Diceros bicornis minor: one gene and its partner. The protein of the gene in region 2 purifies or fractionates together with the protein of the main gene of each other region. This does not show direct contact. Links are inferred from orthologs where the notes say so. Each region holds a gene or a part of one and is shown on either strand. Other genes may lie near its edges.

The links. The genes of interacting proteins can lie anywhere in the genome.
Region 1: the proteins of CHM (region 2) and RABGGTA purify together in Homo sapiens (co-immunoprecipitation; 4 studies listed by BioGRID and IntAct, counting the BioPlex papers as one, with this or other methods). This does not show direct contact. The link is inferred for Diceros bicornis minor from reciprocal best matches to the Homo sapiens genes CHM and RABGGTA.

Annotation. Positions count from the first base shown.
Region 1 is NC_080744.1:23,742,704-23,750,428, reverse strand, and holds the start of RABGGTA (geranylgeranyl transferase type-2 subunit alpha), read right to left. Parts: upstream 3,030-7,725; 5' UTR 2,960-3,029; intron 2,780-2,959; 5' UTR 2,726-2,779; coding exon 2,723-2,725; intron 2,559-2,722; coding exon 2,448-2,558; intron 2,070-2,447; coding exon 1,945-2,069; intron 1,755-1,944; coding exon 1,567-1,754; intron 1,347-1,566; coding exon 1,143-1,346; intron 844-1,142; coding exon 760-843; intron 672-759; coding exon 589-671; intron 500-588; coding exon 398-499; intron 293-397; coding exon 187-292; intron 94-186; coding exon 42-93; intron 1-41. UniProt on the Homo sapiens protein: Catalyzes the transfer of a geranylgeranyl moiety from geranylgeranyl diphosphate to both cysteines of Rab proteins with the C-terminal sequence -XXCC, -XCXC and -CCXX, such as RAB1A, RAB3A, RAB5A and RAB7A.
Region 2 is NC_080781.1:78,471,880-78,479,584, forward strand, and holds the start of CHM (rab proteins geranylgeranyltransferase component A 1), read right to left. Parts: upstream 3,045-7,705; 5' UTR 3,042-3,044; coding exon 2,993-3,041; intron 1-2,992. UniProt on the Homo sapiens protein: Substrate-binding subunit of the Rab geranylgeranyltransferase (GGTase) complex.

The DNA.
Region 1 (7,725 bases), on a different chromosome or scaffold from region 2:
CCAGAGCTCTTCTCCTTGTCCGTGTGCTTCCCTGTCATCACCTGAAGAGCTGCTCGTCTGTGGCCGAGTCCCGGCACCAGGCCTCCTGGCGGCCTGAGAGAAAGAGGAGGTGGGGGGAGGGGACGCCATGAGAGGAGGGGAGGGAGGGGGGCTGCTGCAAGGGGTGCAGAGTGCAGGTCGCATCACCTTTTAAAAGCACACACTCCTTCTGGGCATCGCCTGCTGTCCAAATGACATGAAATGTATGCTGGGGCAGCTGGTCGTTGAGAGAGGCAGCGGGAAGGTCACAGAGCTGGGAGCACAGGGTCAAGGAAACACCCCGGGCCTCACCATTTTCTGACTGTCCCACCCCAGCCCTGCCCCAGCCCCCCACAATGCCCCACCAATCCTAGGATACCCAGACATGGCTGGCCTGGTTCCTGCCATCTGGGGTCCTCCATTCCACAGCCAGGGGCGACTCATCCACCATAAGCAGCAAGGTCTCCATCCTGGAGCCCACCTGGCACAGGGGACAAAGAGAGACCCATCAGCCCAACAGCACCAGGCCCACAATCCAGGATGCTCTCCAGCAAAAGCTGCAGGACTCACTAGGAGGGGCCGAGAGAAGGAGACAGTCAGACAAGCCTCGTCCCGGCTCACGTGCAGGCAGCGCAGGGCATCCTGGGAGTCAGCTGGGGGAAGACACAGCCTCAGGTCTCCGTAAATACTCTTCCATTCCTTCCAAGCCCTAAACACCCAGCCTCCTCCTCCATTGCTCACCTCGTCCCAGGAGCCACCGGTGGTAGAACCAGGCACTCTGATCATTGGGGTCAGTGAAGAAGGCGTTCTGCACCAGCTCCAGCTCTGCAGGGGCCAAGGAGGCACGGGGCTGTGGTCAGGACATCCCACCCTGTCCTTGGAGCACTTCCAGCCCTCAGGCTCAGGTATACGCTGGCCTTGCACAGGGGCTGCATACATCAGTTTTATCTTCCCCATTGGACACTTATGCTCTCTGCAGCCAGGGGCTGAATCTTATGCACCGCCAGAGCCAGGCATGAAGTAGGTGTTCAATAAACCCAAGAGGCAGGTTCAGGAACAGAGCTAGGCCTCAGGGCTGGAGGATGGGCTACAGAGTCATCCCCAGCACCCCTGACTCTGCTTACCTTTGAGCAGAACATCCTCGGGGAGGCGCCCCTGCGGTCCACAGTCTGGCTGGGGGTGCAGCTGGGGCAAGAGGCAGGAACGGTAATGCCAGGAGGAGTAGTTGGAGAAGTTTCGGGTGATGAGGCTGTCAGTGAAGGCTAGCTCCTCGGCAGGGGGCACAGCTGCCTGTGCAGCCACAAACCGCCGGTAGTCCCAGCAGTGAACTGGGGGGGAGGGGTGACAGCACATCTCAGAAGCAGGGCAGGGGGAGCTCCCTGGCTGGTACCCCTAGCGTTCCACCCCTATGCACTCCATGGAGGATGCATTTGGCTCTACCATCCCTTCTGCCACCAGTTCAGTGGGCCTATCCTGGCCATCCCTCCCCACTCTGGGCCTTACTGATGTGGGGCAGCTGAGGGCTGTGGGGACAGAACAGGCACGTACAGTTCCGCTCATCGACCTCAAGGAAGCGGGCACACAGTTCCAGCTCCCGGGCCCAGTTGGGCTCTGGCAGGCGGCCCAGCAGCCAGCAGCGGTGGTGCCAAGTACCATAAGACTTGGGGTTCACCCTCAGGCAGCTCTCCAGGAAGCCCAGTTCTGCCTTCACCAGAGCGGCCAGCTCCTCAGGGGACCTGCACCCAGAGGGGACTGGAGGTCAGGGCCCTCCAACACCCACCTTCAGCTGTCCCTGCCTTTCTACACCCAGCCCTCCACTGCTCTCTGCCTCTGCCCCTGGCTGCCCCACTCCTCCTCTACCCTTGAACCCAGGCAGGGCAGGGGCAGGGCCAGGGCTGCCTTCCTGGGGCACTGAACCCCACGCACTTCTGGGCCTCCAGCCGCTGGAGCACCTCTCGTCGACAGTTCCAGAGGGTGGCAAAGTCAGGGTTGGCCCCCAGAATCTGGCTTGTCAGTTCCAGCACGGACTCATCCAGCTCCCCAGCCTGGCGCTGAGAAGACGGGTAGCAGGGTCAGAGATCATAACATTCTCCCACTGCAGAGCTAAATAACATAAACAGAGCTACCGAATATTCTGTGAATCCCATACTATACAATAGGTACAATGCAAAGTGCTTTAAGGGTTTACATGTATTTTCTCACTTAATTTTCACAACAGCCTTACACAGTAAGTGCAATTATTAGCCCCGTTTTACAAATGAGCAGACTGAGGCCCAGAGAGATTCAGTAACTTGCCCAAGGTCATACAAGTTAGTAAGTGATAGAACCCAGATATGGATCCAGGCAGTCTGACTCTGAGGCCCAGCTCTCAGCCTCTGTGCTATACTAAGGAGGCCACCTGGGGAGGGGGCTACCTCTGAGGGCCCCACCTTCTGGAAAACCGTCTGGGTCGCTGACTGGTATAGCTTCAGCTTCTGTTCCCGCTCTAGCCTTTTGGCCTCCGCTTGCTCTTCCGATGTCTTCACCTTCAGGCGCCCGTGCTAAAGGGATGGGCGGGTTGGAAGGGTGCAGGCTGCCTTTCAAGGGCAGACCCACCGAACCCCCCACTGCGGAGTCCCAGGTTTATATAGTGCAACCGAGGCAAGGCCAAACGGGGCGAGGGCACCGGCATTCCAAGGCGAGGGGTTGGGCTCAGGGTTCTCACCATGGTGCCGGCTCAGGATTCAGGACAGGGGAGGGGTCCAGCGGTAGCCCGGGAAACCTGGGGAGAGAGGTGTCAATCATGGGAGCCCCGCCCCCGACGGCCCCGCCTCCAGCTGTCCCCCGGAAGCCCCACGCGAGCCTCGGCGGAGACCCCCCCCACCCCCCGGGGTGTGAATGGGTGCCGGAACAGGCTCCGCACGGCTAAGAGGAGGCTCTCCCACCCGCATGGGACTTGTACCCGTGCGGCCCTGCCCACAGCCCGACCCGCTGGGGCCGGACCCGAGCCGGGGCACTTGGGTGATGGGGACCACTCTGCGCCCAGAGGCTGCCGCTACCCGCCCGCCCCACGGCTCCCAGACACTCCCGCCCCTCGCGGGCGGACCCACCTGCGCTGGGAGGAGGCGTGGGGGACGCGGAGCTGCGGCGCCCGCCACCGAGCCCAGCCGCTGGCTAGAGCGCCGCCACGCCCCGGCTCTCCGAGGTGCAGCGCCCTCTGCAGGCTTGGGGAGAGGCCCGCGGCGGAGTAGGCGGGCTCCGGAGGCGCGTGCGCGGGGTCTCGGCGCGCGCTGTCGAAAACCCGAAGTCCCCGTTAGCCCTCTGCTGTGTACGAGTACGCATGCGCGAGTATGGCTCGCGCGTGGAGGCTGCGGGGCTGCTATTCCAGTTCTCTGCTCCAAGTGCAAGTTAGTTGAAGAGATCTCTCCAACAGCTGGAAACCCACGCCCTCCCCACTCCATTGACCTCACTCTGGCCGGAGTGGCCACCTCCTAGTTGCCAAATCTAACTGACGGAGTTTCTTGTCCTTATCTTCCTTGACTTCTGGGGCATTTGACGCTACTGCCTTATTTGACTTGACACCTTGTTCTGGCTTCTCCTCGTGCACCTTTGCCCTTCTCTTCTCTTTTCTTCATCTTTTCTTGCCCTACATGTTGGTGATCTCCAGGGCCTTTTCCTCATCCTCTTTTCATTTCACACGCTGTTCCTGGGAGAACGTTCACAAATGCAAGCCTTCAATTGCTTGGAGTTGAAGCTCCCCAGAGCTCAGGGCCCACAAAAGTCTTCTGGCCCACACTTTCTCTGGGTGACTTCACCCACGCTCACGGTTTTAATTTCTGCCTGTAAGCTGATGACACTCAAACTTGTATCTCCAGCCCAGATGTCTTGCTAGCTTTAATAATGAACACATAGATATGTACACACATATTCATATATATGTTGTATATGTTTTATAAATATGCCCACACATATTCAAAAGCCTGTTAGATATCACCTGTATAGACACAAAATAACCGATAACCATTCTATAGATAAGAGAAATAAGGTGAGTTTACTTGAGCCAGAGTGAGGATTATAACCCGGGAAGGCCTTAGACAGCATTCCGGAGAAGTGGGGTTTTCAGTACAGTCTTATATCTTTTTAGAACAAAGTACGTACATTAAACACACCCAGGATATGTTTTCATCAAAATTTCAAAGAGGTATCCAGTTGCAAATTAGCAGGTCAACGTGACCGTGATGTCAGGAAAGGGACCAATGCAGGCGTTACCAATAGGGCCTAGGAGGGGAAGTATGCATTCTTGTCTTAAGAAAGTGTATTCTTTACTTTAATCATTAAGCAGATGTACAATGTATGTTTGATAGGCCATAAGTCAGGCTTTTTAGTTCAAGCCAAATCCGTTTTGAACCCCAATAGTTACCCCATATACCTCAATATGTGAGAAGCTCTTGTCTCCTGGGTGTCCCAGAGACGCCTTGAACTCCGAAAGTCAAAAGGTATCATTGTCTCCCTTCTATCCAGTCTAAATTTTGGCCTTTTTCTTTTCCTCTTGCAGTGAATGGCACTATTCCCTCCTCACTTTTCCTTACTATCTCTTAAATGCCCTCTCCCTTCCCTGTGCACTAAGAATTGAAGCTCATTTCTTCTCCTGGTTGTTGAAAGTCTTTTCAATGTTCCCTCATCTACACCCTGTCCCCTCTATTATCAGTTCGTCCTTTGTGCTGCTGGATTGATCTTTCTAAAATGCAGATTCAATCATGTCACATCTCTGCCTAAAAGCCCTCCGCGGCTCCTGAGAGCTTTTCAGGACAGTCTTGAATCTCTCAGGTTAGCACATCAGGCCTTTTGGCGCTTGGGCCCTGCCTACCCCTCTGGCCTCATGTCCTGCCTGTCCCTGTTAAAAACTCTTCATCACAGCCGATAGAACAACTTGTAGTTTCCCAAACATGTTAACCTGTTCCCACTTCTTGCCTCTCCTTCCTCCACACGCCTCCTTTGCCAGGGTAACTCCTGTTCATCTTTAAGATTTAACTCAAGTGTCACCTCCAGGAAGTTCTCCAAAATGCCCCAGTCTGGTTTAAAAGACCTTCATATGTGCTGTCAAAGATAGGATTTATTTCCCCGTGCCTACTGTAAGTCTTGGGTGGTATGCCAGCATCTCCTATCAGATTCAAAGTTCCTTTAGGGCAGAAACAACACTTTTCTGGTCTTGCCTCTGCAATACCTGGCCCTGGTTCCTAGTAGTTATTTGAATGAATAAACAAAACACCACATAGTGAGGGCTGGCTTGGCTGGCCCTAACAGTGAGCGCTGTTGGCATTCAGGGGTGGGAGAGATCGTGTGGCCTGGACCAGCTCAGGAAGGTTTCCTGGTGGAGCCTTCATGGGGTTCAAGGTGGCCAGTGAATGTGTATGTGTGAGTGTGCGTGATGTATTTGTGAGACGTGTGTGTCCATGTGGTGTGTGTATGTTTATAACTCACATCCGGGTGAGGAAGTATGGCTTTAAATTCTTTAGAGTTCTTCCACACCTTTCTCGGGCCCTGGAAATGTGTGTAAAGTGCCTACCCTCTATTCTGTCCTTTCCTAGGCCCTGTACCAGGGTACAGAGGAAAAGAGACACTTTTCCTGGCCTCGTGTACCTGCAGTCCCAGTGAGCAAAGCATGACACCACTGCTTTATTATCTTTGTGCCCGGCACTGTGTCAGGAGCTTTACACACACACAGGATTACACGTGGGAGGCAGGAAGCAGAGTAGTTAGGAACGTGGACTCTGGAGCCTGGCTGCCTGTGTGCAGATCCTGGCTTTGTCACTTATTAGCTTTGTGACCAGGGGTAAGGTACTTAACCTCTGTGTTGTGTTTCCTCTGTGTCTTAGTTGCTTAAACAGTAACATAGAAAAAATAATAATACCCACCTGCCGGGGTTGAAGTGAAGATGAGATAAAAGAATCTATGTAAAGTGCTTAGGATAGTAAAGGCTAGGTAAATAGTAATAGTAGTAATGATAATATTATTTCTGATCTTTGTGACAATATCTTGTGACAAGGAAATTGAGGGTCAGAAAGGTTCAGTAACTTGCTGAGGGCCACCCATGTAGTAAGTGGCCAAATGGGACCTGTGGCTGCTCTGGTCCAGCCCTCCCACCTCACCAACTGCTTTTTTTTTTTTGGTCACCGCTTGCTCTTGCTTCCTGCTCTATAACAATCACATGTACAACCAGATACCTGGGAATGTAGATTCCCACAGGTGTAGATTTCCCAAGAACAGTCTTACATCATAGTCACTAAGGGAGGAGGGAGCGGGGGATAAAGGCTGAAGTAGACAGGAAATATTTTTCAGTGATTAGCAATCTTGAAACCAGGGAAGCTGAGTCAAGCAAGCTTAAGAGAGGAAGTGAGTCTCATGAAGAAATCTGTTTCAGAGAATGAAGGGCCTGGTTTTGGAAAAAGAGGGCGGGAAGGGCATTTCAGGCGTGAATGATGACGTGGAGGTTGGGGAGAGAAAGCCAAACAGACTCAGCTGGCTGGCAGACAGAAGCTGAGCCAGGTGCCTTTGGAGATAAGAGCAATGGAACCAATGACGAGCCTCTTGCTTTAAGGCAAAAGGAGCTGTCAGGAGTTATATTTGGCCGCCTGTATGGAATAAGTGGGAACCAGGCAGGTGTCTGAGGGCCATGATCTGAATGATGTTTGAGGAAGGGATTTTACTGCCTCCTATGTAGAGAAAGGAACAAGCAATAATTGAGTACTGACTGAGCCCCAGACATCTTATTTAACGCACTCACTACCTCTATGAGGTAGGTATTATTATCCATATTTTACAGTGAGGAAACAATGCATACAGTGGGTTCACAGAGGATAAGTTGCTTGCCCAATGTCACACAGCTGGGAGGAAACACAGCCAGAATTCAAACCAAAGCCTGGGTGTCTGTCCACCGCACAGGTGAGCGTGGCCATTGCCAGAGGCTCGAACTTGAACTTCTCGAGGCCTGGAACCCCGGTGTCGTTTCATGCTAATCACCTCCTCCCCTGCCAATCCTTTCTGTACTTCCACTCCACACACACACACACACACACACACACACACACGCACGCACTCACATACACATTTACAATGTCTCTGGGACCCTGAGCCAGTCATGGACCAGAGATGGTTTGGAGGGAGGAAAGAGACCATGAGCCCTGGGTAGGGGCCCCTCAGAGCTTGGCTAGAAGCCATGGTCTGGAGGTAGAAGAGTGAGAAAGAGACAGATGCCAGAGCTGGTTCTGGACCTGGCACGGTGTGGCAGCATGTGTATTCATTCAATCTGTTGATATTTATTTAGCATCAGAGCTGGGCCTGAGAGCACGTGAGGTGCCAGGGATACAGTGTGGGACCAGAAATTCAGTCTCTTCCTTCCCAGAGCTTACGGTCTAGTGCGGTGGTGTGCTAGACTGGAACTTTCTGTGATGTGGAAATGTTCAGTATCTGCGCCCTCCAGCATGGTCGCCACTAGCCCCACATGACTACTGAGTGTGCTCTCAAAATGTGGCTAGTGTAATTGAGGAAATGAATTTTTAATTTAATTTAAATTTAAATAACCACATGGGGCTAGTGGCTAGCATTGGACAGGACAGGCCACATGGGTGAGACAGACATGTCAGCAGGCGACCTAGAGTAGCACAGGAGTCGGTTGCCCATGCAAGGGGCACCTGACCCAGACTAAGGCCAAGAGGAATTTGTTCTAGA
Region 2 (7,705 bases):
TTGTCATTTCCATCTTGCCTGCCCTTCTACTGAGTTGTTGGCTCTGCTGCAGATTACACAGGTCGCCAGATAAGTCACCTCGGGTGATGTGTTATGTTACTGGGACTATTTTTAACCTGAAGCCAACGACACTTCTCTACAACCCACAAAACTATCATTCAAATCTTTTTAAATGACAAAATGTCTTTAAAATGACAATTGTGTACCCAAACTGAAGGCCACTTTGTAGACACTTATCACATATCCATTTGTGTCTTCTCCCTTAAGACTCAGTTGACCCTCCTTCCTTATTCCATTTTATTCCATATTTTCCATGGTTCAAGTACTTTATCTTATTCCTCTGCCTTTGGGTGTCTGAGAGAGATTTCCTGCATTTTGTAATCAAGAGGAAATGTGCTTAACTAAGAAAAGACACACAAAACTTTATTTTCTCATAATCTCTTCAAAACATGATCTTCAGGAAAATCTTGTTATGAAAAATGAAAAGAAATATATTAATTAAGGTCAAAGGGATCTAAAATATTATCCAGAGATTTTACTGATGAAGCAACTGTCTTGATGACATTTTAACTAGAACTAAATCTGCTAAAAGAAAAATTACATCTCATAGCCTATTTCTTCATGTTTCTGATACATGCATGATTAATTATGCTTTTGTTGGTAAAACTGAATCTACGAAACACTGCTTTTCTTATGATTTACTCAAGTTAGTACATTTAGTAAAGCAAACACGTTTTAACGGCTACTTTCAGCAAACTATTTCAGAAGAGAAATAGTCCAAACACATTAAAAATAATTCCAATTAAGTAATGATTGGAATTATTGGAATCATTTATTTGGGAAATGACTTTCATCCAATTTTTCCAATGTGACGAACCTAAAAACAAAGCTCCATATCATAAATTTAAGCAATGTGCTTGATAAACTCGGAATGTGTTCAACATGGAGTGATATGAAAACCTTAACTTTTAAGATCAACTTCAAATAACTTCTTCCCATGCTTTGAGAAACTACGTTACTCTCACTGGAATAAGTCTAAAATGAATCTTTTTCCAAATACACGAGATGCCTCTTGAAGCCATTTTCTGTATCACTCACAGTATCTTCCTACCTCTATTATAACAGACTCCAATGGAATGGCTGTAGTCCATATTATGAACAGAACCAGAAGGCAAAATTTATTATAAGAATTAACAGCATTTAATAATAAGAATTAGCACTCATCAATTAAAACTTGAATCCAGATAACAAAAAAGTCTCAATGGTTCAAAAAAAATTTTAAAACACCCCAAATTCCTAGGTAATAAAAAAGAAAGGCAATAATATAGATCCCAAGTATGGTATAACAACTATTCTAAAATGGATGTTGTTCTTAGTTTTAGGATAGACTGGATAAAATAAGAGAATAGTCTATTGGTTCCTTCCAGCTCTCATCCAACATCTGTATATAGCAGCTACAGCCAGGTTATCTGCACCCATGCAGTTTTCAGGTTGGGAATAAACATGTCCTCGCTGTTCTGAGAACAATTACCCAGGTGCAACCAGAACAAGAGAATTTTTGGTCAGACAACATCTAAAAGGCTATCTAGTTGACCCTCCCTATATTCAAAAACAAGAAAACTAAGACTCAGAGATTAAGTGCCTAGTCCTAGCAATTCACACAGCTAGTTAATGGCCAAGCATGGTCTAGAACAAAGTTTTCCCAATTATTTCTACTCATATGGGTTAACTCTGAGGGTCAAAACCACTGTTTCTCCTAGAATGGAATGGGCCTTTGGAAATTTACCAGCTGTGTGATCTTGAGCAAACTGCAACATTTCTAAGCTCCCTTTTCCTTTTCTGTAAAGTGTAGAGAATACCTACTCTAACAACGCTGTTGTGAGGATTACATACGGCTTGTAGAGTGCTTAGCACATAGATTAGCAAACAATAAGCATTCAAACAGGTAGCTATTATTTTTACTCCCGCCCTGGTAACATGGCTGCTCCTACTGTTTGAGAGGACAACGAACTAAACTCATGAACACAATGGTCAGGGTCTCATCCACCAGACCCTCTCCGGCCTACCACATTCTGCAGACAGGAGAAAACTCCACCCAACAACCTATTTCATCCCATCTAAAATCCACTCTACACTGTTAAGAAAAACAAAATACCAATTGCTGCCAAATGTCTTCTGCCACGAGTTGTACGTGGAATTTGTCAACTAGAAATTGCTGGGGGTTTCTGACACCACCCAAAACATGGAAAATAAACGATGGGAAAACAAGGGAAAGATAAGGTCACACACCTGAACTGGAACTAACAGCAGCTTGTTCTCAGCTCATTTCGTTGTGGGTAGACACGTGGGTGGTAGAAGGCAAAATGCCTTCTTTCAGCACCATAAAGCAGGAATAATGGCTACCTCAACAAAATACAATTCCCTAAGCTTCTCAACACAATAGAAAAGAATCCGTTTCCTCACCCCAGTGAATTAACACGCACAAGGGCAACAACTGAGCATCTTTCTCTGAAAACTGAGGATTAAGCTGTATCTGAGCTGCACTGCACCCTAGGATTATATAACTATATGAAAAATTCCTATGCAATGGCGAGACAAACTGATCGGGAATAGCACCTTGAAATCAACAAGGAGGGAATCATAATGTCATGCCAAAGGCGTCTCCACTGATATAATCCCGACCCTCCATTCTCATGACACTGCAAACCCACCTCCCTCTAAGTAAATTACAGGAATCACCCGCAGCAACCAACCTCAGCAATCGGCATCGACCAGATCGACCCCTACTCAAACGGCGCTAAGCACCGCGGGTCCAAGCCCCTCCCTGGAGCTGCAAAGTCCCGCGCTGATTCCAGACTACCTCACTTCCTTTCCGTCCTCCCTCCTATACTCGATCCTCGGCATTTCTCGCCAATCCTCGCCACTGACAGAGAAGGTAGGAACGAGATAGACTTCCTACACTTTGTCCGGGGAGTACCAGAGCCACACATACCCGTCCCTATTACGATCACATCAAACTCCGAAGGGAGATTATCCGCCATCTTGACAGGAAACGTGTCATGTGACTATTGCTTGTGGAAATGAGATCAAATTAGGCATTGCTTTGGTAGAAGGCGGAAGGGAAAACAGTGCATTCTGGGTATTGTAGTTCCTGGGTGGCAGGTCCAGGTAGGCGGCTACAGCATTATATTTGAAATGTTTAGGCGAATATTAAAAGCTCGATTCATTTTCCAGGCTGAGTGCAGTAGCACATTTAGCTTGGAGGTTTGGAGTAGAAAAAAGATGTAGATTTTTACTCCGATGAATGTGGGAAGACCTGGATACCCCTTGACAATGATGAAGCAAGAATTGCTAAGAGACACGGAGGGCGGAGTGAAATTGAAAGAGGATTGCTCTGTGAACAAAGGAAATTTTCATTCCAGCCTGGAGACTGTTTCCCCCAGTGTGTCTGTACTTTCTTTTTGGCCCGCGAGGCGTAATTTTTCACACAATACTTTCAAAATATATCCCGTACTTTTTTTGTCTGTGTGTCTCCCCAGTGAAAACTCACAAAAAAACCTCTCGCCCTAGTTTCGCCAGAATGGAACCCTTGCCGTGTCTGTATTTGTTCTAGTTAGTCCAAACAGCCACGCTGGCAATATATATTTGCAAAATTAGCCTTGCTTTACAGGAGGGAAAAACATATGAAAGCATAGTATTTGCTTGATAAGCGTTTATTGATTCTGAATCTGGTTTTCTATACATATACGAGAAGTCCGTACAAGATTCTCCTGATAAGCCACCGCAGAAATAATCAAGGTAAAATGGCCTTTATATTAAACTGATTGCATTTGATGAAGGGGCTTAGATTGTCTATGCGAAGCAGCTAACATAGCTCTCATAAGTATTTTCAAGGTCGGCCTCCTCCCACCCCCTCCCCCCACCACCCCCCGTCATTTAAAATGCTTTGCTGTCTGGCAATACCAAAGCAAAAAAGAAGGGAAGGGTGCGTGGGAGTGAGGAAGAGTACTTTTTTGATCCCAGAAATTCATTGTGTAGTTATTTTGCAAGAGTTTCAAAATAATTCAGAGAGAGAGTGCAGTAGTGGACCTTCCCTCACACCTCCTGTCCTCTGAGCTGTTTGTGGTCCCCCAGTCACACTGTTGTTCCTTCAGCATGGAATAATCTTCCCATTCTCTAGCTAACATTTATCCCCGAGATTCAGCTCGGCTTCCACCACCTCCTCCTTTTATCTCCTCCCTATATTGGGTTAAATTTCTCTATGTAGTGCTACCACTCTGTCATAAACTGCCATATTACACTGAAATTATTTGCGTTTATCTTGGTTCCTATACAGTACACATATCCCCAGACATACTCACAAAAATACACATCCAGATATACAGCGTTCTAAATTATAAGCCCCTGTATGATAAGGACTGTGCCTTATTTATCTTTTTACCCCCTGCATCTAACATAAACCTGGTGCAGAGTAGGGATTAAATAAGTGTTTGCTGAACTGAGCTTAGTTCTGACTTCTCTAATACATGGTAAGTACTATGGAGACAGGGACTTAAGTCTTCACCGTGATGTCTGCCAACTACTATGAGGTATCTTATATTCTGAAGATGCTCAATGCATGTTTGTTACTTTGCTGAAGTTCCATGAAAATTCTTAAAATTGTATTTTAATGGGTTTTTTTTGCCTCATTTCATTGCATTTTGCTATAATCATTAGCAACATTGTGCATGTTTCATTAATTTCTTTTATAGATTATCTTGTTATATTGAACAATTCTCTTGTGATATGGTCCTCTGATGAATATTTTGTGTAAAAGAGATTCCTCTGAGAAGTGTAATATATTGTTCAGTAAACCACTCTGCCATTTGCTTTGATATGAAAAGAAAGTTTTGAGTATTATCAAAAGTGAAATAGATCTTATCTGTGAGACTCTTAACACCACCAGTGAAAATGGAAATTAAAGATTTCCCAAGGTAGACACAAGAAAGTTTCCAAAATCTCCTCTAACAGAGAGAAGCCATAGATGGGTGGTTAGAAGCATGATAAATAAAAGTATTTCTATCTTATTTTGGAGATATATGTGTATACATGTGTACGTGTATATATATATATATCCTTTTCGATATGAGTATATCTAACTTTCTATGGATTCAGAAATTTTCTAACAAATGCAATCACACTGTGAAGACACAACTCATTAAATTCATTCAATTTTCCTCAAATATTTATTGAATACCTACTATGTGCAAGGCACTGATTTAGACACTGGGATTACAGGAATGAACCTAAAAGACAAAAATCTCTGTCTTCATGAAGTTTATATCTAGTGAAGTAAAAAACAAAAATAAACAAGTGATTACTCCGTAGTACTAATTTTCCAATATGTTTTGCCCCAAATTTGAATTCCCTTTTTTCTGAGGCTGGAAAGCACAACTCTCAGAAAGATAAAATTGCCAGCCCATATTTAGCTTCCTTTCTCTAAAGTTATCACACACTCGCTGGGCATGGAAAAGATTATTACATTAGAAAAATTTAAAGCCTCTGCATGGAGAAAATGCTCAAAATACCTTTTCTTTCAAATGTATTTTTGTAGATTTTTTGCAAAGTAAACATAAATATAGGAGTTGATAATATCAGTAAAATATCATAAAGCAAAACAACTTAATTTCTATATATTCTATTATTCTAAGGACATCTATTTTTGAGAACTGAAATATTTTATTTGGATAAGTCACAGTACAATAAGATGATGGATACCTACAAATATACTACCCTATTCAATCACTGTGACACTAATTTTGTACTTGATTTCCTGAGTTGAAAAACCACGATTCTATGAACATTTACCTTGTATTTAGAAGTTTACTCAACTGTGGGATCTGATGTATCATCGTTTACAAACCAGTAATTTAATAGTCTCTATCCCTGGCCTTTCCTTTGAGTTCCAGATCCATATACACAACCCCTTACTCAACATCTCTTCTGAACGTGTTGAATACTGAACTCCTGAACAGTTCAACCCCGCTCCCAAACCTCTTTTTCCAATGTTATTTACCTTGGAAATGGTACCACTTTCTAGTCAGTTAGCTCAAGTCAAAAACTTAAGAAAATTATCCTTGATATATCACTCTATTTCACCTTTAAGCCAATTAATCAGCAACTCTTGCAGATTTATCTCAAAGCTATATTGTAAATATATCTACTTCTCAATCTAGACTGCCCCATAATCTCTTACCTAGACTACGACAGGAGGTCTCAGCTAGAGCCCTTATTCATGCTTGCTTCTCTCCAGTCCGCTCTCCACACTGCAGGTAAACTTTTAAAAATTCAAATCTTATCATGTCCTCCTCTACCTAAAGCCTTCGTGATTTCCCATTGCTCCTAAAATATACTCCAAAATTTTAAACATGGTCTAAAAGACCCTGCTGAACTCTGCAGTCTCATCTCATACCTCTCACCCTTCTCTCTCTAAGCTCCAGCCATATTGGCTCTCCTTCGTTTCCTCTAATACCCCATGCTCCTTCCTGCTTCAGGGACTTCAGAAATGCTCTTCCGTGTGCCTGAGGTGCACTTTTATCCTTCTTCCCCCTTTCTCCTAGCTTAATCCTACTCATGTTGCAGTTCGTTCAAAACATCACATACTCTGCTGTCTGCATTGAGTCCTCAGTCTACCTTAGGTCTCCTATCACCCTGTACTACTCCTTTGTTGAACTTTTCATAATTGAAAATATAAAATCACTTATGCAATTACTTGTTTCATATCTGCCATCTTCCTAGAAGGTAAGTTCCACAAAGGCAAGGACTGTGCCTATATTATTCATCGTTATATTCCCAATACATCATTCGGTGCCTGGCACATAATAGGCACTCAAAATATCCACTGAAATCCTACTTCTGGGTATATATTCAAAGCAAATAAAATCACTATCTTGAAGAGATATCTGCAGTCCCCTGTTCATTGCAGCCTTATTCGCAGTAGCCAAGATATGGAAACAGCTTGTGTTCATCGACAGATGAATGGATAAAGAAAATGTGATGTATAGATATATAGATATATATCTATATATGGAATATTATTCAGCCTGTAAAAAGAAGGAAGTCCTACCATTTGCAACAACATGGATGAATCTGGAAAACATTATGCTAAGTGAAATAAGCCAGACACAGAATGACAAATATTGCATGATCTCACTAATATGTGGAATCTAAAAAAAAAAAATTTAAGTCAACCTTATAGTAACAGAGAGTAGAATGGTGGTTACTAGAGGCTGTGCGTTTGGGGAAAAGGGGAGATATTGATCAAAGGGTTCAAAATTTCAGTTATAAGTTGAATAAGTTCTAGATACCTAATGTACAGCATGATGACTATAGTCAATAATAATGTATTGTATACATGAAATTTGCTAAGATTGTAGGTCTCAAGTGTTCTCACCACACAAAAAAATGGTAACTATGGGAGGTGATAGATATGTTAATTAGTTTGATTGTGGTAATCATTTCACACTGTATACATATATCAAAACATCACATTATACACCTTAAATATATATAATTTTTACTTGTCAAAAAAATAAGTTTTTTGAAAAGCTGCTGAATGGACGGATGAATAATAAAGTATAGGAAATCTTCAGGAAACAACACATTAGTACTTCTAAATGGGAATAACATGAGTTGATTGCCCAGTAAACTTGTTTCATCAGCTGGT